3 linked regions of the Lonchura striata genome follow. The main gene of each other region encodes a partner of the protein of the gene in region 2 in a complex. Links are inferred from orthologs where the notes say so. Each region holds a gene or a part of one and is shown on either strand. Other genes may lie near its edges.

The links.
Region 1: the proteins of EIF4E2 (region 2) and TARS1 are in contact, whole or in part, in a crystal structure (PDB 5XLN), measured with the Homo sapiens proteins. The link is inferred for Lonchura striata from reciprocal best matches to the Homo sapiens genes EIF4E2 and TARS1. Residues at the interface, in NP_004837.1 of Homo sapiens: His54, Pro55, Leu56, Gln57, Val91, Glu92, Phe94, Trp95, Arg96, Glu149, Asn150, Leu153, Leu156, Gly157, Glu158, Gln159, Met161, Val203; in NP_001245366.1 of Homo sapiens: Pro51, Glu52, Tyr53, Ile54, Tyr55, Thr56, Arg57, Met60, Tyr61, Ile63, Leu64, Glu67.
Region 3: the proteins of EIF4E2 (region 2) and GIGYF2 are in contact, whole or in part, in a crystal structure (PDB 5NVM), measured with the Homo sapiens proteins. The link is inferred for Lonchura striata from reciprocal best matches to the Homo sapiens genes EIF4E2 and GIGYF2. Residues at the interface, in NP_004837.1 of Homo sapiens: His54, Pro55, Leu56, Gln57, Tyr64, Arg66, Asn81, Lys83, Gln84, Ile85, Gly86, Thr87, Val91, Glu92, Phe94, Trp95, Arg96, Phe97, Ser99, His100, Met101, Val102, Leu107, Phe113, Glu149, Asn150, Leu153, Leu156, Gly157, Glu158; in NP_001096616.1 of Homo sapiens: Leu38, Ala39, Asp40, Tyr41, Arg42, Tyr43, Gly44, Arg45, Met48, Leu49, Leu51, Phe52, Leu53, Asn56, Lys57, Ile58, Pro59, Asp61, Leu62, Asp64, Glu66, Phe67, Pro69, Ile70, Leu71, Gln72.

Annotation. Positions count from the first base shown.
Region 1 is NC_134642.1:38,636,751-38,644,012, forward strand, and holds the start of TARS1 (threonine--tRNA ligase 1, cytoplasmic), read right to left. Parts: upstream 3,048-7,262; 5' UTR 3,027-3,047; coding exon 3,006-3,026; intron 2,765-3,005; coding exon 2,684-2,764; intron 1,863-2,683; coding exon 1,672-1,862; intron 716-1,671; coding exon 592-715; intron 1-591. UniProt on the Homo sapiens protein: Catalyzes the attachment of threonine to tRNA(Thr) in a two-step reaction: threonine is first activated by ATP to form Thr-AMP and then transferred to the acceptor end of tRNA(Thr).
Region 2 is NC_134612.1:18,512,811-18,520,200, forward strand, and holds the start of EIF4E2 (eukaryotic translation initiation factor 4E type 2), read right to left. Parts: upstream 3,011-7,390; 5' UTR 2,947-3,010; coding exon 2,927-2,946; intron 2,190-2,926; coding exon 2,075-2,189; intron 968-2,074; coding exon 833-967; intron 1-832. UniProt on the Homo sapiens protein: Recognizes and binds the 7-methylguanosine-containing mRNA cap during an early step in the initiation. Acts as a repressor of translation initiation.
Region 3 is NC_134612.1:7,096,102-7,103,075, forward strand, and holds the start of GIGYF2 (GRB10-interacting GYF protein 2), read left to right. Parts: upstream 1-3,905; 5' UTR 3,906-3,993; intron 3,994-4,857; exon of another isoform or gene 4,858-4,884; intron 4,885-6,974. UniProt on the Homo sapiens protein: Key component of the 4EHP-GYF2 complex, a multiprotein complex that acts as a repressor of translation initiation. In the 4EHP-GYF2 complex, acts as a factor that bridges EIF4E2 to ZFP36/TTP, linking translation repression with mRNA decay.

The sequences.
Region 1 (7,262 bases), on a different chromosome or scaffold from region 2:
TCTGCCTTAGTTAGCACAAATTGAAATCATAAATAGGGAGCTGTCATTTAGCAATATAAAAACCCTGAGTTTGAATGTAAGACTTATGTGATGAGTTTGACTGACAGTTTATTGTAGAAACTAATTTTTTTTCTAAAGAACATAATCCTAAATTTACTGGCTGGGCACATTTATCTGATTGAGTAGCCAAAATAAAAAAGTAGATACTTTTGCATACAGAAGGAAAAAGAGTAGTCTACTCAATACTTTCATGATTCTACATAGAAAGTATTTTTGTACTCAGTTTTGTTCCCAAAATCAGTGCTGAAGACGTCAGTTAAAAATACCTACTTTACATTAACATGACAGGTGAAAACACAAATTTTTAACAGCAAACACAAGCAGACATTGCTAAAAGTCACACACAGCAGAATGTACATTATCTCTAGTATCACAACTCTTCCAGTAAGGAGCTGTGAGAAAATGCAGAAGTACCTAAACCACAAACCCCTTTTTCTTCATCTTGTGAACATACTAAATATTTAAATAACTGCAAGAAGGTAAGTCAAATGTAAACTTGGAACAAAAAACATTTTGGCAAAAGATACTCACTGCTTGAGCCTCTTCATCTTCAAACTTCAGCAGCTCCAAGGAACAGTCCTCCTCCAAAGGACGGTCTAGATCCCAAACCACCTTGTTCACTTTGGCAATAACTGTGTTATCAGCTAATCCCTGACTACAGAACAAACACAGAAGTACAATTATAAGAAAGTACATGGTATTTTGAAATCAGCAAGCAGAAGCTCCCCAGATTTGCCCTCCAGTTTGAATAAGATTTTAGAGTGCTCATCAGAGTGGATATAATAAATTCAAAATAAATGACCGGTTTAGCCAGTCCTGAACATTGATGAAAAATCCTACTTATATTTTAGGGATATAGGAAGCAAATTGTGCTATATACTTAACTATCACACACATTTGACTTAGAGGCAGCATCCTCCAAGTACAAACCTAACTTCCCAGTCCTGTTGCAATATAAGAGAGTACCACTCTCTTAAAAGCTACCAAATACCATTTTTGACATAGTAGCTTTACTGTTTATATCCACTAGGCAAAATACTCTTTTCATGATCCCAAATCAGAGAAACAAAGGAGGTTCCAATGATATGGCACCTTATTATGGACAGGAAACAAAAAAAAAAAAAAAAAGAAGAAAAAGAGAGGCATTTCACTTTTAGGAATCACCCAATCTTTGTAATGTTAACTGTCAGGGTGTTCACTGTGAATGATTCAAAAATATCTCCCATGCAAACTAAAGTGACGAATACTCATATTGTTAAACTTTTCTGTAGTCAATTGAAACATCACTCAGCAGTCATCTTCCTCAGGTCAATGCAAATTGGTTTGCAATGCTAACATTCCATCTATTAGCAAATTAGTTCTCAATGCAACAGCAGTACTTGGATGTAAAAATACACTGTTAGAATGCTTTATTCTTATTTAATGTTAGAAACTGCATAAGGCAAAAGAAAACTGCACTCCAAAACTAAAACCCTGGTGTTTACCTTCAGTTCATCATCCAAGATGCTATGAGAAGACTTGAGATACATAACAAAGAAACTATACAATACCCAGCCCCTTAAACTCAACTGTCTGAAAATGATTGTGTAGCATCACAGAACAGAAACATACCTAATTCCACATGCAATTTGATAAGGAGTAGTCTTCCAAGATTCAGCATCAACCTGCTTGCCATCGGGTAACGTAACTTTAATGGTTTTACTGTCATTTGCAGCTCTTTCTGCAAGGAGTGCGTCATGTTCAGCCTTTAGTTTATTGTACATCTCCAAACGCTCATTGATAAATGCAGGCCAAGGATTTAGCTGTACATAATAAAGACAAAGGAAAATGACTAATCAGATATTAACATGACAGACATCATATCAAGAATGCCAATACAACAGATATAGTTTTCATAAGCAACTACGTGATGATATCTGTGTGCTATATGTAACACAGATAATCACCATTATTTCAGGTTATATAGTACTAACTATGTCATACCACACAGTTCAGCTTAATGAAATCTGTACTACCATACACCTGTTCAATAAACCACCTTACCAAACAACTACACCATCAAATAAACTACACATGGACAAAAGTTAACTAGGAAAACTGTGTCAGTTCGACATAAAGCAAGACTTTTCTTATTAGGTCAAAAAGCTGAGGGAACACTCTAGTCTGAGCCATCCGGACAGGAACTGACTCCAGTTTAAACACGTGTAATGACGTCAGGACCATCCGTCCGGGCACAGCCATGCACTTGGCCCAGGAGCAAGCGCTAGCAGCTGGCCCTCCGTGGACTCAAAGGGATCTGTGTTTACCCACCGCGAAGAGAAAAACGAAACCGCCTTAAGAAAGCTTTCTTCACCTTGGCGATATGCTGCCTGCTTTCCACTGCAGAGAGGCACAGGGAAAAGCATAAACCTAACCCAGCTATGGGAATCTGAGCTGTTCTCCTATTACACCGACGCAACTTAATGCAAACACCAGCAATGGCGTTACAAGGCACGCTGTCGGGGTGTTACTGTAACGCGCGATAAAATACTTCAGAAGGACGAGCCGCAGCAGAGCCAGCAGCGCACAGGGCAGCAACGAGGACTCCGCATCCTCCCACCGCCGCGGCCCAGGGGCTGCTTACCTCCGACCGCCCTCCATCGCCAGCCCCTTCCTTCATCTTCTTCTTCCCGCAGTCAGCTTTCTTCTCTTCCCCAGCGACCACCTGCGAAGGGCGAGCACCCTTTAAGTCATGCCCCGGCAGTCCCTCATACCTAAGGTGCTTTAACTCCTCCCTGCCCCACGGAAAAGACCCGGAAAAGACCCGGAAAAGACGGGAAAGACCCGACCTCCTCGTCCCCCCCAGCTCCCTGGTTCCGTGGGGCACACCCCACCGCCCCCAGGAGCTGGGGAGGCGCAGGGGAAGAGGCCCGGCTGCCCTCTGCCGAGGGCGGCGCGGAGCCCACCTGGCTGTCAGCGCCCGCCATGGCCGCGGAGCCGCGCGGGAAGGGGCGGGCGCGGCTGGCGCAGGCGCCGGTGGGCCGCGGCTGATGCAACCGGCCCGGCACGGCCCGGCGGGGCGAGCGGCCGCCCTGCGGCCCCGGCTGTCCGCGCCCTGCTCGCTGTCGCGGGAAGAATCATAGAATCAATTCAGTTGGAAAAGATCCCCGAGATCAGAGCTGTGACCGAACGCCATGTTGTCAGATTTCATTCATGGCGCTAAGTGCCATGTCCAGGCTTTGCTTGAACACCGCCAGGGACGGTGACTCCAACACCCCCCTGGGCAGCCAGTTCCAGTGTCGAATCACCCTTTCTGCGGAGAAATACCTCCTAATGTCCAGCATAAACCTCCCACGACGTAGCTGAAGACGGTCCACTTCTCACAGTTGTTGCCTGGGGCAAGAGGTGGATTCCCACCTGGCAACACCCTCCAGTCAGGATGTTGTAGGGAGCGATGAGGTCTCCCCTGAGCCTCCTTTTCTCTAAACAGCCCCAGCTCCCTCAGCTGCTCCTCATCACACTTGTGCTCCAGACCCTTCCCCAGCTCCTTTGCCCTTCTCTGGACTCACTCCAGAGCCCAGGGTGTACCTGGCTACCTTTCCCCCTGACACAGAGGTTCAGTCAAGGATGGATCAGTAATTGGGAGTCCTCTTTGTGAAAGAGACTAAACTGAAATAAAAAAATCGTGTTGACCACTGTCTGGTTTCCCACGGGAGGACGAAAAATATGTAGAAGAGATTCTGAGGTGGTTTTGTCAGACTTGAACTGCAGGAGCATCTGCAGCTGTCCCCAGGGAAGCCTCAGCTCAGTGGCTTGGAAGCTACAGATGCCTCTAAGGAAAAGATGTGATATTCGGGCATGGCTTTTGCTCTGCAATCATCTTTCTCTTCTTTCCTCTTGTTCTCAGGTTATAATAACAATTATATTTTCATTTAGGAAGGTTACTATCTTGCAGCACAACCTCATGGTGGCTGTGGACTCCCAGAGTGGCCAGTCCCAAGGTCTTTTGTGTGTTTGGTAATCTTAGGCATACTACCAGTGAACTCATTCAGTTTAAGCAAGATGTTCATTACCAGGTTCTGTGTTTTCAGGAAATCCTGGCATAACATCCTTAGAAAAGCGTAAATCATGGGTCAGGTCTTGCCATGGACTTCTGCTGCCAGCAGAGGACCCAACACCCCTTCTGCCTCCTGAAGTAGCTGCCTTCTCTTCATCTGCAGCAGTGATTGGGGAGTTTAGAGTGTGTAAAATGTTCCCAGGTGGGTATTGGGGCACCTTATCCTCCATGAACTTAAGTGCTATGAGACAAATGTTCAGAAAAAAAAAAAAAAAAAAAAGGATGTTTTATATAGCTTTCAAATATGTCGTTATCTAGTGGTGAAGGATGGTTGAGAGAATGTCACTGGGCTATTTCTCCACAAATGGAGGAGCTTAGAAAATAATGCAAGTATTTTAATCTATTATTAAAATGGGAAGGTGTAGTAAGTAAGAACTTAAAGACAGAATTAGGCCTAGATCTGGATAGTTCATTTGTTGTCTGAATGAACAGCATAAATATTGGCAAAAACATTTATTAAACAGCTAAATGTAACAATATATGTAGTATCTTTTGTAGAAATACAATGTTGAGTAATACAAAGGGCATTTGTTTTATAATACTAATCTTTATATTTGCAAATCTCCTAAAATCTTTTTCAGGTGGAAAACTTACAAGTGCCTAAGAGACAGAACATTGCAAAACTTATAGATAAATTATATTATGCCAAAATGGAACAAAAACATATACTGATGGTGTTCAAGAGAAAAAACTATTCACAAGCGATTGGGAAACTGTAGAACTGTCTATTGTGCCAGAAGATGGCAGCAGAGAAACACGCTGATCTGCTGAGACATAAATTCCGCTCAGCTCTTGGCTTTAGGAAGTAGGTTTCATGGCAAAAAGCACAAAACTAAGTGAATGCTTTACTGACTTCGCTCTTAAGCAGTGCAATTAATGATGTACAGCTAAATTCAGCCATGCTCTAATAGTGAAAATTTATTTCAGTGTGCTTTAATGATTATCAAAAATGAATAGATGTTTTGGGATCATGAGAAGTTTGTTGGGAAAAAAGTGGTCAGAAATTTCTAGTGGAATTGTGGGGTTACTTGGCTTATATTTCATTTAGGAAAACCAAACATTAAAGTTAAATCAAAGTGCAAATACAAATTTAGAGCAATGAGTGTAACACATGTACACCATTTACTTGCATCAGCTGCTCGAGGGAAACTATCTGACTTGTAATGCAGCACTAGGCTTTCTGTAAAATGTCTGGGTTTGTTTATATTTGTGTACATTAAATCAACTCTATTCACTGTAGAGTATTTGCTAATTTCACAAATTCTGAATTTGAAAATAAAATTGTATGAATGCCACCCATTTATGTTGAGAGTTCAACACATATCATTTGAATTCCAGGTCCAATGGATTTCCATAAGCCCACTTCAAGCAAAGAGTTATTATCTCAAAATTAAGAAAACATACAAATATAAGAATCTCATGTTTAAGAACTGACATACTTTTGTTCAGTCATCTCTAGTATTAATTTCTCCTGAGCTAATGTAACAAAGGAGTAAACTTTTTAGAAGTCTAGTATAACAGTTGTAGAAATGCATATTTAGAAACTGAAAAATGTGTGAAGGTGAATAAAAAAAAATGATATTAAATGTAAATATTGTGAAAATAACTGAAACCCTGATTAAAACTGGAACATGTGAAGAACGTGAAATATAAGCCTTGAATTTTGATATTACTTCAGCTTCTGGTGACTTATTAAAATATTTATCTTTTTAGGAGGTCAAGAAAAATAACTGGTATTTCACACAAAAAAAAAGACAATTTTGGTTTGGTGGTATATCCATGATGGCTTTGTGTACAGCCACTATTGTTTGTAGTCTTCATGCATCTAAAATTTTCCCCAAATACTGGGCTTGTTTCTGCTATTGCAGGAGAGATACATGCTTGTGCATGCTAGGGAGAAAATTCTCACTAACAGCAGAAATCCCAGAACCATTGCAAGCTGAAAACACACATCACGGAGACAGCCTCATCCCATTTCTGTCCCCCAGAATGCAGGTCCTCTTCACTTTCCCCTCTCACCCAGTTAATACCTGCAGCAGTGCAGATAATACATTCAAATTACTCAGGGTCAAATTGTTCTCTAGGGCCAGGCAGGTTTTTTGAGTAAAGAATAAAGGTGCATTGTGTAAAGAACAATAAGGGTAAAATGCAGGAGACAACTAGTTTCACTGCTCATAGTTACAGGTGCTGAGATGAGAGGTTATGCATTCCAGGTGAAACTTCAAACCAGGTTTCACTCCATGACATCAGATGAGCAATAGACTTGTACTAGGAGTCCTTGAGCCTTTAAAAGGAGGGTGATGCTGGTGATTTTCCCTTCCCTCCCTCCCTGGCTTTTCCTCCCTTCAGTAAAACAAGATTTGGCTTTCTCCTTCTTCATAACAAACATACCATACTCATGTCTCATTTTCCCCGCATCTCAATTTTACCCCTAGTTCACTTGGTTAAATGTTTTAGCATTTAGCATGTATAGCTGAGCCAGCAATATTTTGTCTCACATCATAAAAAGTAATAAGTGTGCATGCATCCAAACAAACTCAGCGCTTTCCTATGTTATTTTTGTAGAGCTCAGACATGTGATTTGTTAATCAATTATGAATTGATGTATCTAGGATTAAGATACTTTTCCAAACTCCTACCTTTAGGATGAACTACCCCTGCTTCACCATATAACAGCAGATTCTTCCTATTCTGTGATTCTCTTTTCCAGTAGGATTTGCACTTAAAACTCTTGTTGTTTTTCATTTAAAGCTTTTATTTTGGATAATGGTCTCAGAAAAAGATGTGCTGTCTGCAGATGTGACTCCCATTCTGGTCTCCACTCTTGTCTTATGACTCAGCTGTGAGATGTGGATCCCAAGCCCCTACCTTCCATTTCCTGTTTATAGGTTATCAAACAGTGAGGCACCGGTCATTTTACAAGAAAAATTAAGTGATAGCTATTTTGTGTAGTGAGGAAGAGGGATGATAAACTAAGAAAAAATTAAAATCACATGTTCTTGACTGTCCTTTAATACCATGTTAAAAATCACATTGATATATTTTTTGCCAAAATTTTGGATCTTGGATGCATCCTTGGTTTTTGTAACTAAATTAAAACAAGGTT
Region 2 (7,390 bases):
CATGCAAAAACCCAAGACCGCCTGTCCAGGACACGCTCAAGTTTATTCCAGGAACAAGTAACCACAGAGTGGAGGAAGAAAGGAAGAGCAATATGCCTTTTAATGAACTTGACTGCAACATCAAACGGCACCTTGTCCATCACTTCCAGAGAGACAACAGGTCACCAGCTGTTGGTAAATACAGCGTGCCAGATGTTTATTCCAAACACAGCTTTTGTGATGGGAATGTGGGTGAAGTGCGTGAGGGACAGCACAGAAATGGAACAGAAAAGCTGTTCCTTTCTTCTCATGCTCCAGCCATAAATAAATGACATGGCTACTCTTTTTTTTTTTTTTTTTTCTCATTATACCACAGAGGTCTAGCACAGGGCAGAGGAGAAGTGCTAAACGCACATCTCCTGCTGCAATTCAAGAGCTCATTTGCCTTGGCAAACCAGGAGCAGGGCCTGTGCGTGCACAGAGGCAGCACGGGGGGAGCAGGGCACAGGGCAGGGGGAGCGGGGCACGGGGAGCAGGGCACGGGGCACGGGGAGCAGGGCACGGGGAGCAGGGCACGGGGCAGGGGGAGTGGGGCACGGGGAGCAGGGCACGGGGCACGGGGAGCAGGGCACGGGGAGCAGGGCACGGGGAGCAGGGCACGGGGCAGGGGGAGTGGGGCACGGGGAGCAGGGCACGGGGCACGGGGAGCAGGGCACGGGGAGCAGGGCACGGGGAGCAGGGCACGGGGCACGGGGAGCAGGGCACGGGGCAGGGGGAGTGGGGCACGGGGAGCAGGGCACGGGGCACGGGGAGCAGGCTGTGCCCAGCGGAGGGGCTGGCAGGGGGTACTCACGGAGGCAAAGGTGCCAATCTGTTTGATGTTCTGCTCGTAGCTCTGCGAGCTGGTGGGCCGCCCGGGGGTGCGCCGCGAGTACCAGAAGGTGTAGTTGTACTGCAAGGGGTGCTCAGCTGGCCCCGGCACCACAGCCTGCAGGACACAAAAGCTTGTTTACCCCTCGCATGCTCCTCTAAAAAGGGAAAAATTGCATTTACAGCATATAAAAGCAACCATTCGAGCCATCAGAGGTATCGTGGATGAATTCTTTTTAGTCCTGTGCCTGTCTCAAAGGGAAAAAAAAAAAACAACTAAAAAGGAAATGTGAGACCTTGAACTTTTTCAAATTAAGGGAAAAAAAAAAAGACACTTTCCTCCTCTGGGAATGATAAACCCCACTTACAATGAATCATGATTCAAATGCAATTAAACTCTTTGATGACACCAATTGCCTGAAGGAACCAACACCCCAGTGCTCTGGGAAGATTAACCTAAGAACTTGTTATGTCAGCTTTGGCAGAACCCATCACCAGCAGCGGGCAGCAATCACTTTTTAATTTCCAAAACACTGATTTCTGATTAAAAATACTTCTAATGAGCACAAAAGAGGCTAATGAGAGCTCATCAGCCAGGAGTCAAAACTTACAAAGAATACCCCAATCAAAGCTCTTATTTGTACTACTTGATATTGTTACAGGAGTTCGCAGGGCTTAAATCTCTACTTTCCTCTTGACTTCGGCAAGTTTACAAGGGTTGCATTACTTCAGACAGAGAAATTTTCCTGAACAAGATATAAAAATAAACCAAACCAGGGGAGATATATACACAATGCTTTCTTCACCAGGCTACCTTACACACAGGGACACATCTTAAAAGGTGTTTCAAGAGTGTCACAAACACTGCCTGCTAAACCACCTTCAAGGTACTACTGTCCTGTCAGACATGAGTCCTTTCCCCACATCCTCTTCAAAATTTGTTTTTGGATGAAAATAAAGCCTCATTACTCATTTCCATTAAAAAGCCTGACAGGGTACCACTATGTTAGTGATGGGAGCACTCACCCCTCAGATGAGAGACCTCCAAAAGTGACATCAAATTACCAAAATCAAACGTAGTGCTGCTGTCTTCACTGCAGCAGTAGCAACGTACTGATATCACAGCCCCCCAAGACATATTTTCCCTTATCCCTGAGCTGAGCATTGACTCCCCAGCACTCCCATACCATGCCCTGGCAGTGGAGTGCAGATGCCAGCACCATACCTTCCTCTTGGTAGTACTCTGTGGTTTCTCACGATCGTTCTTTTCCTTCTCACTGTCTTTCTGTGTGTTATTTTCCTCATTCTGGTCATGGTCTCCACTATCATCATCTTTCAATCTGGTAAAGAAAAATAACAAAGAGAGCCATCACACAGCTGAGAAGGTCCATACCAAGCCCAGGTAGTTCTCTGCTCCAAAGCTCCTCCGTGGTACAAGGGCCACCACAGTTTGGATATCTACACTTGACAACGTACACAGTAAAAACTACTTCTTCTTTCATGCCCATCACAGGCATCTTGGGCAAGCACTTTTAAGCTGACGTGAACAACGAAACAGCTTTTTGGAACAAACTCAAGTGGTTTGTGCTGGATACTGATCTGCCACAGGAAACCCCGGTTACTTGTTCAAGTTCCCTGCTATTCAGGGGGCCCACACGAAGACCTCTCACCGTACCTCTGCCGAGTCTTACCCACCCCGCTCCCCACGGCCCCCAGCACTGCACAGGCAGCGCCTCGGACGAGCAGACACCGCGCCAGCACCCAGCACCCCACAGATCTCTCCGCCCGCCCCATTCCCTGCCAAGGGCCGGAAAAAAGCGAGACAAGCAGAGCCACAAAGCGGTCCGCAACTCCGCGGTGCAGGCCTGCCAGCGGCCCACCGCCCACACCTCCCGGTCCCGCGTCCCCTCGGGGCCAGGCCGGGCCCCGGCTGCAGGTTCGGGGCTGTGCGCAGCCCCGTGACTCATCGCGTCTCGCCCGCCCGACGCCGGGGCAGCGGCGGGAGGCGCCGGCGGGGCTCGGGGCGGTGCAGGGCCCGCACCGGGGGCCGCTCGGGGGGCTCGGGGGCGACACTCACGCGTCGAATTTGTTGTTCATCGTCGCTCGCTGCCGCCGCCACCCCCGTCCGCCTCAGCGACTTCCGCCCTGCTGAGTCCGCCCGCGAAACTCTTCCGCCGCTTCCGGCGGCTCCGCCACCACCGCCCGCGTTTCCCCCCGGAGCCGTAACGCGGCGCACGGCGGGCGGGGGCGGGAGCGCCCCTCAGGGCGCGGCCGCCATCTTGGGTGTGGCGTGAGGGGCGGGCTGGGGAGAGAGTTCAACTTATCCGTGCAATTAATTGTGCTCCCGTAAATACAGTTTGAGGACTCAGACAGTTACTCTTCTAAGAATTTTCCCACCTTGCCTCCTGTGGCAACAGGAAACCCCAGCTCGACTCCCTCCCCATTGATGTTTCCTTCATGTGCAGTGAGGGATGGCACAGAAAATGGGAAAAAGTCCCAGTAATGAGTCTGCAAGCTCCTGAAGTGATAATAGACAGTTCATAGCGGATAAAGGCAATAGTCCCTCTTTCAGCATCTCCTTGCACTTCACGAATCTGTTCCCACGTTACTCCGAGTACAGAATTTTCACAGTGCTTTGCAAATCTCTGAAATTTGCAAATTTCTGCTATCTGGCAGAGTTAGTAAATAGAGTTCTGAGTGCTGTAGCTTCTGTTTCTATATCAATTTGTGATGTGGAAAGAGTAAAAATTCATTGCCTATGTAATCTAGGTACTCATGCTAAGCAAGCAAAGGAACAACCCCGTATTATATCCACAGTATTATAACTTGGTGTAACTCAGTCTACTTAAAACTTATTTATGCTGAACAACTAATATCTCTCATAAGTCTGTGGATCAGGAGCATTAAAAAAAAATGGTATGTATAACCATATGTAAAGCACTGCATATCCTCTATCCTATAGTGTGTTAGTGTATTAATTCTTGTAAAGCAATGTAACACTGCTATTCCTGCCTTACTATCTGAAAGCAAAGGCAATGAGTGTCTCAGCAATATTCCTGAAATCCCAGGAGTATGGCAGGACAGGGAAAGGGCCCCCCAAGCCCTAGGCTAAATATTCTTACCATGGGCCTTCCCATCCGGTTGTCTTAAGGGCTCAGACGTGTGTTCATAACCTTAGAAGTCACGGAAGATTATTTAGAAATATTTAGTAGCAGAAACAGTTCAAACACTCATACAGAATTTCCTGGTTGGTAACAAAAGGGATCCCCAAATGGGATCTGTGTGCTCTGAAGACCAGCAGTTTACCAAAATATTTCAGAAATAATGTGTTACACAAATCGCTATGGAGACCTGTTCATAAAGAGATCCTTTTCATAAAAATTGCCAAGATATCAATCACTCTCTTAAAATTGCCCAATACAAGTGCCAAGTAATTATTACAGGGTGAGAAACAGGGTCACACTCTGTTATTTCCTACCTAATAGCTTATTTAGAAATTATTAGGCACTCCTAAAGAGCACCAAAGGATACAGTAATTACAGTTATCAAACTTAAAACAGAAAGAACACCACTAAACCCCACAGAAGTGAAGGCTTCACACTGATCAAAACCCCCAGCTTGGATTCTGATCTTCCCGCAAAACCACATAGGTCTTATTGGGAAGATGACCTACATCAGGTTGGATAGGGATTTAAAGTATTCCGCTAATACAATAAATTGCATATACATTCCTGAAATTTCTGTGGGTTTTATGTTTCATTTGTACCAGTTTAAAGGAAACCAAAGTTTATTATATTAATACTTTTATACACTGACCTAGCTTGAAATCCTGTATGGAAAAATGGTAAAAGTAACATCTCTGCAACAAGAGAGGCAAACTCAGTACAGATTTGTTCATATTATAGCACATAGATAACATCCAGCATCCTATGCCCAGTGAAGAGTTCCTCATGAGCTGTTCAAACTCACCTTTGGGTAGTTTTGCAGCCTGGGAAAAAATGTAAACATAGGTGTGATGCCTGACTTTGGTTTGTCTAAGGGTTGTACCCAAAGCTTAGTGGCATTAAGAGACCTCGGTGACAGGGAAGCCTTGCAGTGTGGTGTACTGGGTCCCCACAAACCCTGGGTTCACTCATGCTGCTGTAACACACAGTCTCTTGGTAAAGCTGCTTTTGCATATGGCAGGGCTGTTCAGTCCTTATATACAATTCCACAGGATGGGCAAATGACAGCATCTGACACCTCTCGGAGTCATTCTGAATTTAAAAAAAAAGGGCTAATAATGAGCATTCAAGAATTGTTGATGTGCAGACTCTGTGCAGAACTTGAAATTCCTAAGCCATCTTACAGTGGAGGATCAGGGTAGCTGAATCATGAGCCATGAGCAAGGACACAACACACGTGCAGCTACACACATTTCCCACCTTGGATTTCCAGCTACACCATCATGAAGTGCTCAGCATAAAGTGAAGGTGGTGTCTGAGCCCGCTCTGAAGAGATCTGTGGTCACTGCACTCCGAATGTAGAGAGCGTGCCATCCTCTGCCTGCAGATAGGAGACAGGCAGTGAGATTTAAGGCATAGCAAATTCCCAGCAACAGATCTGTTTTTCATCACAGGCCCATACAGAGTTGGTGGAGCTGGTAAGGCAGCAGCCTTGTTGTTCTGTTAAAAAATATGATCTTGCTGAAAAGGAAGACAGCGCACAGTAAGTTTTCTTTCAGCCTAGAGTGGAACAGCATCACTCTCTTTATGTTTTAGGTTGAATTCAAAGAAAGAAATAGCTCAGCCATCTCTCAGGAAAAAAAGGAGGAGAGGAAGCAGGAGTGCTGCTGGAAATACTTTAACTAGAAGCATTTGAAATATGTAGCATCTGCCTAAGAGACAATTACTTGTTAGCTTTAACATCTCATTCAGGCATGCAGCATTGAAGTCCTGTGGCTGTGCAGTCACCCAGCTCTTCTGGTGGTGCCTGATCTCAGCCTTAGTAAGAGCTCATCGATCCTGCAGGTGTGTCTCTGCCAGCAGCCTTCTCATCAGCAAAGTTCCCGAGGGCCTCAGCAGTGATGGGGAAGTGTCCTGGGGCTGCACCTGGAAATACAAGCAGGGGAATGCCAGGAACATCTTGGCTTCACAGAACACTTACAGGCTGAATGTTCACAGCTGAACTGTGCCTAACCATTGCAACGATCCACAACTGTCACTTGTCTGACTGTAGGAAATGCATGACAACTTAATTATTTTAAAAATTATCTTGCAAGGAAGTGTGTCAAAGATGACCATTATCATACATTTCTCGATTGCCTGCTTTCCACTGGTAGTTCAGTTTCAGTTCTGGCAGATTTAAATTACCTTAAATACAATTTTTCTTAAGTTTTCTAAGTGAAGTCTTTCCCAAATGACCTGTTCCTTCCTAAATTTTAAGTCAACACTTGTCTGTAATTCTCAAAGCCACATTCATGTCAGCTTGTCCTGTTTATTCTGGATGGTTCTTACAGCCCAGTCTAACACAGGAAATCAGGGTTATTAAAAAGCCCTCCAAGGCATAAGGTAAGAGGAAAAACCTGATTCTGGCCCCATGGCAAATTTGATGCTGCATATTATATATGTAAAGTCAGGCTAGTCTCTGTGAAGAGAGCTGTTACAGGACATTCAAGGGTCTGTAGGCAGACTAAGCCAGGAATAGTTGCAGAGGAATCATTATTGAGAAGGAAGAGGAGCACAGCAGTGAGTGCTGGCTGCAACAGAGCTCAGTGTTCATTTTAGAGCTCTTCTTCCTCTCTGTGCCTTGGCAAAGAACAACCACTCCATGCCATAGCTCACTGAGGAATCCTGCCAGGTGTTGATACAATCACAGGGAAGCCCTTGCTCACCTGAGGCCAGGAGATGCCATGGAATTCTGCCATGACCTGGGATCCTTTGAGCAGCCTCTGGCACATGACAGCCTCTGTAGTGAAGCAATATCCAAAAAGCACATCCATTTGATGGCAGAAGGGAGTGGAACACAAAGAAACATGACTACAAACAAAGCAAGCTGAAAATTAACTTCTTTTGTAGGCTCTGGCCCTTTGCTACACTGACTCTTGATTTGCATGGGATTACACAAATAGCCAAGACTGCAGAAATCAATAAACACACTGGGGGATTGTTCTTCCAGAAACTTTTGAATGAGTCGGGGCAAGACTTCATCCTACAGGAAAGTGCAGAATCAGCACAATTTGGGAACCTCTTATCTGTCACTTTCTCACACAAAGGGTTAGCAGGAGATCAATGAGTCAGGTGTGATCTTCTAGGCTCCAGTGTGAAAGCATCAGCTGTGTAAACCTCTCATACTGTGGAAACTGCAACTTCCAGCAGAAAAAGCAGGGCTGGAAATGAGGAGAATGAGTCTATGTAATGAGCACATACAGATCTATATTTCCCCTTTTCCTCTGACAAAGAGCTCAGCAAACTTCATCCCAAACCCAGGCTTCCAGGATTTTCATCCCTAGTCCTAGCTTTCTCAATCATCAGCCTGAATAATCTCTGCTGCTTCTAGATGT
Region 3 (6,974 bases), about 11 Mb from region 2:
TAAATATTTTATCCCATGTATCTCTGCTCTATGCCAATACATTCACTGTGTCTATGAATCCTCAGGTCTCAGAGGTCAGGTAATATCTGGGTGAAGGTTCCTTAGTCTCTATTTCCCCAGGAAAATTGTGACACTGCAGCTCTTGATTTTTATTTTGGGGTGGTTTTTTTTTGTTTTTTTGTTTTTTTTTTTTTCTTTACAGCATAGCAAGCACTGCTGAGTTGTGCTGCTTTGCACATGCAGCTGGGTAAGGAGTCCAAACCTGCAGGAGAAGAGTGTGAAAAAAGGCTTTTCAGTGGTTTTATTTTAATAGAATTAAGTCAACTCTAGCTGACAAGTTTCAGTAAGGAAATTATCATTGTCTATGGTTTTGTTCAATTCAAACTGGTGCTGCTAGTTGGGACCTGCATTCAGTGCAATGAACAATAAGTGCTTTTGGACGTGCATTTATTTGGAAGTTGCAGAAATGTGCGTTTTGACATCAGCTTTGCAAAAATGGACATTAGGAAATGAATCACTTTCTAAATTGTTCTGTTTTACTGGCAATTATTTGATTTGATAACAGTGTCATTAGATTGTGTAGAAGTACTAAAGAGAAGTTGTCTAGCTGTATCTCCCACCTAAAACCATGTGAAAACACTTAGTTGTATTTACCTGTAATTTATCTACTACATCCTTGATGCTCTGTTCTTTTATGCCTGAGTCACCACAGGTGGCTCTCAAAGGTCCTGGCAATCCCAGCTCTTTAGTGGTGCCTGCTGGTATATTAATGCCTCTCTGGTATTTCTGACATGCCACAAGTGACTCTTAAGTTGGTGGCGGCAAGTAGAGAAGCTTGATGAAAAACTTGTTGCACTTGGTGGTCTTTCTCAGAAGGGATAAATACTTGCCTCAAGTCATTCATCTAGAATGGGAACTTCAGGTAGTCCTTGATCTCTGATGGGATTTTGTTTAACAAAACATTAGTTTGCCCAGAGTAGGCAAAATGCAAGACAGGAGTCACTAGCACTTCAGCCAGCACCAAAGGTGGGTTCAGCCTGTCTGGATGCTCAGATTGCAGTGGATTTCTCAAGGATGCTCCTGTCACAGTCATTGCCATTGGCTGCAGCGGACAGCCTATGGCAGCAGGAAGTCTCACCTGAAGAGCTTAGTGTGGTCACAGTGCAGAGAAAGAGAAATGGTGTGATCAAGTTCTTCCTGGCACAGGGTTTGGGGTTTATGTGTGAGGATTAAGGTGACAAAATAACACTTCAACCTTATGCGAGTGTCCAAATAAACCCAAGACATTCAGAAGTAATTGGGTGTTGCAGAAGTAGCAGCTTGTTTGTGGTACTCTGTCTTTCAGTACAAGCCACCTGAGGTGACAAATGCATTGAAGTGACTGACTTTAAAAACTGCAGTTGGATGTTTGCCTGCTTTGCTGCTGTTTTCATTATTTTTAGGGATGTGACAAATGAGGACATGGAAAACAGAGGCTGCTGAGAACATATTGACTCTTCCCAGACAAAATCCCTGGTTATTTCAACAAGCAGGGGAACCACTTTTCCAAGTAACAAAATGCAGGAGTGGCAAGGGGAAACATGACTCTGACACATTCTTCTGGGCTGCTTTGTGATCATTATTTATCATTTCAAAGCTGTGTTCTGTGTTCATAACTCGACCAGTGTACTGAGGGAGGTGGGCTCTTGCCTCCAAGCCAGAATGGATGAAAACAAGGGGTTAGTAAGGAAAGCTTGTAGTTTGTTGGGGAGGCAGCTTCCCTGTTCTTGGGTTTTTAATAGTGTGAATGAATTGGCACAGTAATCCAGGGCTCTGAAGTACATTATGCCCTTGGTACCCAGACTGGCTGCTGGGGTGATTTCACACCTACACAATATCAGCTGACATTCTGTCATTGAGCCAGTCAGGAATTTTACCACACGGGTACAGTCTTGAATTTTCATGAGATTCTCTCTGTTTTGCTTGAATGAGTTGTGGAAGATTTAAGATGCATCTGCTATTACCAAAAGATTGTCATCTGAGTTTCCTTAGAGGTATTTTACAGAAATGCCAAGTTCTGCAGATTAGGAATGTTTCAGATGCTTCTTGAATTTGAATTTTTTTGTCTCAGTAATATAATGTTTGTGCTAACTGGGATTAAAAAAATTTCCACAAGTGCTAAACATCTTCCATCTCAGATAAAAGTTGTCTTAGAGCATGTGAAAATATTTTTGAGTGCTCAAACTCACATTTGATAAGTAGAATAACAAGGCACAGCTGCTTCTGCAATGAAATTGGAAGTTCTCACTGACAGCTTGAAATGCAGCACTGTCTCTCTCTATCATTATTAGTATTGGCTCAAACTGTGTGACAACAACCAGGGGGATTGAATGCAGCTTATCAGAGGCCAGCCCTTTTCTAGGGAGCTTTGCTTTTCCATACCAGCCTCCTAATGGAGAAATTCCATTCTAGATTTTTTGGGTGAGGTAGTCCTATGTAGCTCTCAGCTAAAAATAAGCCCCAAGAATTACAGGCTTTCAACCCATTAGCTCATAAGAATCAGTAGTATTCACTGTTGCATCATTTTTGGCTATCATTCAGTACACAATGACAAGTATTTATTCACCTAGAAGAGGATGGAGAAAGCTACATGGGTTGTGGCTGACATCATGATTAGAGTGAAACTGTTTCAGCTGAAAACGGTTATACCTTCAGCAATGCGTAACAGCCAAGAATAGTTTTTTACGCTGAAGGAACCACATGGGGCTATTCTGCCTCATGTACTAATATGGGTTTGGGGACTAAAAATAAACTGGTATTTTTAGCTGAAGAAAGTTTGCCTTGAGCTGCTGATTTTTCCATCAGAAGAGTCAAAATATGTATCATCTAATGCGCTTTCTCTTTTCAGCAGCAACAGCAGCTGCTGCCACTGCCTCCCAGGGTGACTCCCACGGCAAAGTGTCCTCAGGGCTCCTCCAGTGCCCGGGCAAGAGCAGGTCTAGCCCTCGGTGCCTGGGCACTGTGTGCTCACACATGGTGGCTTCTCACAGAGATTGTTGTGGCCATCGATAAAATGGAATTGCCTCATGGAACCACACAGAAGAAACAGATAAGGCTGGGAGCCACACTGCGCTGCTGAGGCCGCCTGTGTGTATGTGTGAGAAGGTGGCAGAATCACGGAATCATCCAGGTTGAAAAAGACCTCTGAGATAATCGAGTTGAACCTGAGACTGCTCCCCACCTTATCACCCAGACCAGGGTGCCAAGTCCAGGTATTCATTGAGCACCTCCTGAAACAGGGACTCCACCACCTCTCTTAACAGCCCCTTCCAATGTCTAATCACCCCTTCTGTGAATAATTTCTGTCTAGTGTCTAACCTAAACCTCACCTGCTGCAGCATGAGACCACGTTCTCCTGTCCTGTCCCCGTTCCCTGGGAGCAGAGCCCAGCCCCCGGCTGCACCCTCCTCCCACAGAGAGTTGTGGAGGGCAGGAGAGGCCCCCCTGAGCCTCCTTGTCTTCAGGCTGAGTCCCGCCCCCAGCTCCTTCAGCTGCTCCTCGTCAGACTGGTGACCCTTCCTCAGCTTCGTTCCCTTCTCTGGACGTGCTCCAGCCCTTAATATCCTTCCGGAATTGAGAGGCCCAAATCTGGAGAGCGGACTCAAGGTGCGGCCTTACCAGTGCCGGGTGCAAGGGGAACTGAGGCAGCGGTTCGATTACCGGGGCTGCGGGCAGGGCGGGAGGCGCGGGGACCCCCGGCCCTGCCATCTCCCTCAGGGCTGGGGGGGCCGCGGCGGGCCCGCGCGGCCGGCAGGGGGCGCTGCAGACCCGCCCCTCTCCGGGATGACGTCACACGGGGGCGGGAAGCGCCTCTGCTTCATCCGGGTCCCGCGGCGGGGCCGGGGGGCGTGGCCTCGCCCTCACGTGACGCTGCGTGGCGGCGCACCCGCCATCTTGTGTTGTTGGGTTGAGGAGCCGCCGCGGCTGTGAGGGACTCTCCGCCCGGGAGCGCAGGTAACGCCGTCCCGCCGCCGCCCGGCCCCGCCGCTGCCCCGGCCGTCCCCACCACGCCCCCGCCGTCGCGCGCCCCGTCTGACCACCGGCCCTGCCGGCGGCTCCCGTCCGCCTCGGCTGCCGCAGCACCGAGGCGCCCCGCGGCCTAACCGGGAGGCGAGGCCGCCCAGGGGGGTGGGGGGGTGCGCCTGGAGGGCCCCCCCGCGCTCCCCATGGGCCTCTGCAGGGGTCGTTGGAGCTGGGGCGAGCAGGCCTTGAGCTCTCCGTGCAGGTCCTTGGTACTTGTCAGGCGGCGGCGGGGCCGCTCCTCACCGCCCTCCGGGGCCGTCTCCCCTCGCACTGACCCTTGTGAACTCGCTCGTCCCCTCCCAGCCCAGCGGGAGCGCCGCGGTGAGCCCCGCTTCGAGCACGCCCGGCCCTGTCGGGTTACACTGGCCGAGGAAGGAGGGAGCTCCGAGCCTTCCCCCGCGCAGGCAGCAGGGTGCTGGGAGCAGCGGTGACCGGCAGTGTTTGACTGGAGAAGCCTTGGCAGGCTGAAGAGAGCATCGATCAGAATTGTGTACGTTTGGTATTGATCCAAGACAAGTAGTTTCAGTGTCAACAGAGCACTTATGGCTCTTGCAGTTCTCTATGATTGCACTTTGAATTGACACAAGGTGTAGGCACAAAAGAGGTATTGCCCACTAGTGCTTCTGCAATAAAAATCCACATTTCCCCTAGTAACATTCAGTTCAACGTTTGTGGTGTGCTGCTTTTACTGTAATTCTTGAATATCTGTTTGCTTGGGTGGGTGGGGAAAGGACTTTTGGATTCTGATTATATTCCTCTAACTTCTTGCTGCACGTTTTATTTTTCTTGCTTCAGGAGCTGACTTGGGCAAGTTCCTGGAAAGTACGTGTGAATTTTTTTTCTTATGACTCTGCTGGTTGCTTTTGTTCTTAAGAAACTCTTCAATAAACAAAAATTAATTTGCTGTTATGTGAATGGAGCATTTGGTTGATACACAATGTGATAATTGGAAAACTTTGTAAACAAAATTGGTTGCAGTTGTCGCCAACAAAAGCTTTGTTTTGGTGTTTTTAAGTTTTGTTATTGGGTGGTGACTGCAGTAGATAATAAGAGCTTTATTGCAATGAGGTATTGGTTTTCTTGCCATGCATTTGAATAGGTATCCTATGAGCAGCTAGCTGATGCTGGTGTGAAAATGTGTGACCTAATTAATCCTGGGGGTGCCAGCAGAAATATTGAGTGTCCATGGCCCCTTCTGCACCTGCTTTGCTCCCCAGGTTCATGTAGTTCAACAGGTCAGTTGATGTCAGTGGTTGTGTGTTGGTGTTAATTTCTGAATGAATGTGTGATTAAAAAAAAAATAAAGTTTCTGTCTAATAGTCTGCTGGATTAAAGAGAAGGCAGAATTTTAGTCCTGGAAGTTGGATGTCACCTTTTATGTTGAGACTTTGATAAACTGTTTCAGTGTCTGACAATATTGTGGGTAAATACTGGGGTTGAATGGCTTAAAGAGCTTCTCAGGTTCTCCCAGCCCCCGGATACAGGAATATGCCTGAGGACACCTGGTCACTGCATTTCTTTTGGGGCCTTTTTCTGAATGGTTTCTTGAGCCTGTGTTTTAAAGCAGGAGCATAGAACTAAAATTTAGTGTGTTTTTGGAGAAGCAATTATTTGTTTCACAGGGTGCTTAAAAAAAATTTGATACCACAATGAAAACTTGGACTGTTTCTTTTTTAATAGGTGTTGACCTTGGCATTGTAAAATATCCTGAGGTACTCCTATTAGCATTTCTGCTTCTGTTTCTAAAATATACATTAAACTAAAGCTATGAGCCCTGTGATTATGTAAGTGAAAAAAAAAGTTTGTAGACAGTTGAGGGCTTTGTAATTAATTTTTTCCTTCCTGTTTTACTATTCAGTTTAGGAAGAAAGCTGTGTAAAAAGGGAATGCAAAGTAGGTTTTGGGTTTTTTAAGGAATTGAACCTAAGCAGCACTCTGTATCTCTCTGCTAAGGCCAGTTGTCTGAATGAAGTTCTGCTACAAACTGGAGTTCTTCATACCTGGATGTAAAAAAAAAAAAACACCAGCAGTTTTTTAAGCTCTATATATACTTCATTAAAATAAAAACAACCCTAGATGTCAAGAGTCCCATGGAACAAGTTGTTGGGACAGCTGAGTGGCTGAAGGCTGTGCTGGTACATCCCTCTGCTGAAAGATCTTTCTCTTTAAACCTCGAAGAGAAAACACTGGTTCACAGTAGCTGGTGAAGATGAGCTGTGCACTAAGATCTGTGCTTTCCCCTTTCCCCCCCAGCTCTGTTTATTTATTTTGATTACTAAGAATGTGAAATTTGATTTTGCCTACTTTTGTCTGGTCTTGCAAGTTCAAGTAACTGTCATATATATGTTTCTTATTCTTTCATTGAGGTCTTCAAAATTCTTCCCTCGGACTCTTCGAAGTATGGTATTAAGTTCTCTCATAATCTGATTTAGCAAACAAAAAATCCATTTCCTAGCAGTTTTTTCTTAATTTTTATTTTTTTATTAGTTTTTTCCCCTTCAGTGCTTCTGCTCAAATATTAGTGGAGATAAACTATACATAATTCATGATTATAGATGAAGCCATGGGGCAAAGCAAGGGAGCTTTCTCCCTACAGAGCTTGCTAGAGAGCCATTGGATGCCTTGGTGAGGAGAAACCTTTTTCTTTGTTTACTGAGGAAGCATTTGCCTTGAAAGAGACTCTTGCTTTGTGTGGTTTTCTCATCAATTTATATTAATTCATAGAGTGACATTTGAAATGCAAGGTGTGTGAAATGCTGCAGGGGGATGGGGTTTGCTCTTTCAGGAACGAAGTCAGTTTCCAGCCCAGCTTAGCCTCTCCTTGTGTCTCTTGCTCTCAATTCTGGACCTTTTTTTTTTTTTTTTTTCCCATAAAGGATCTCGATTGTAAATCACCGGAAGTGAGAAAACGT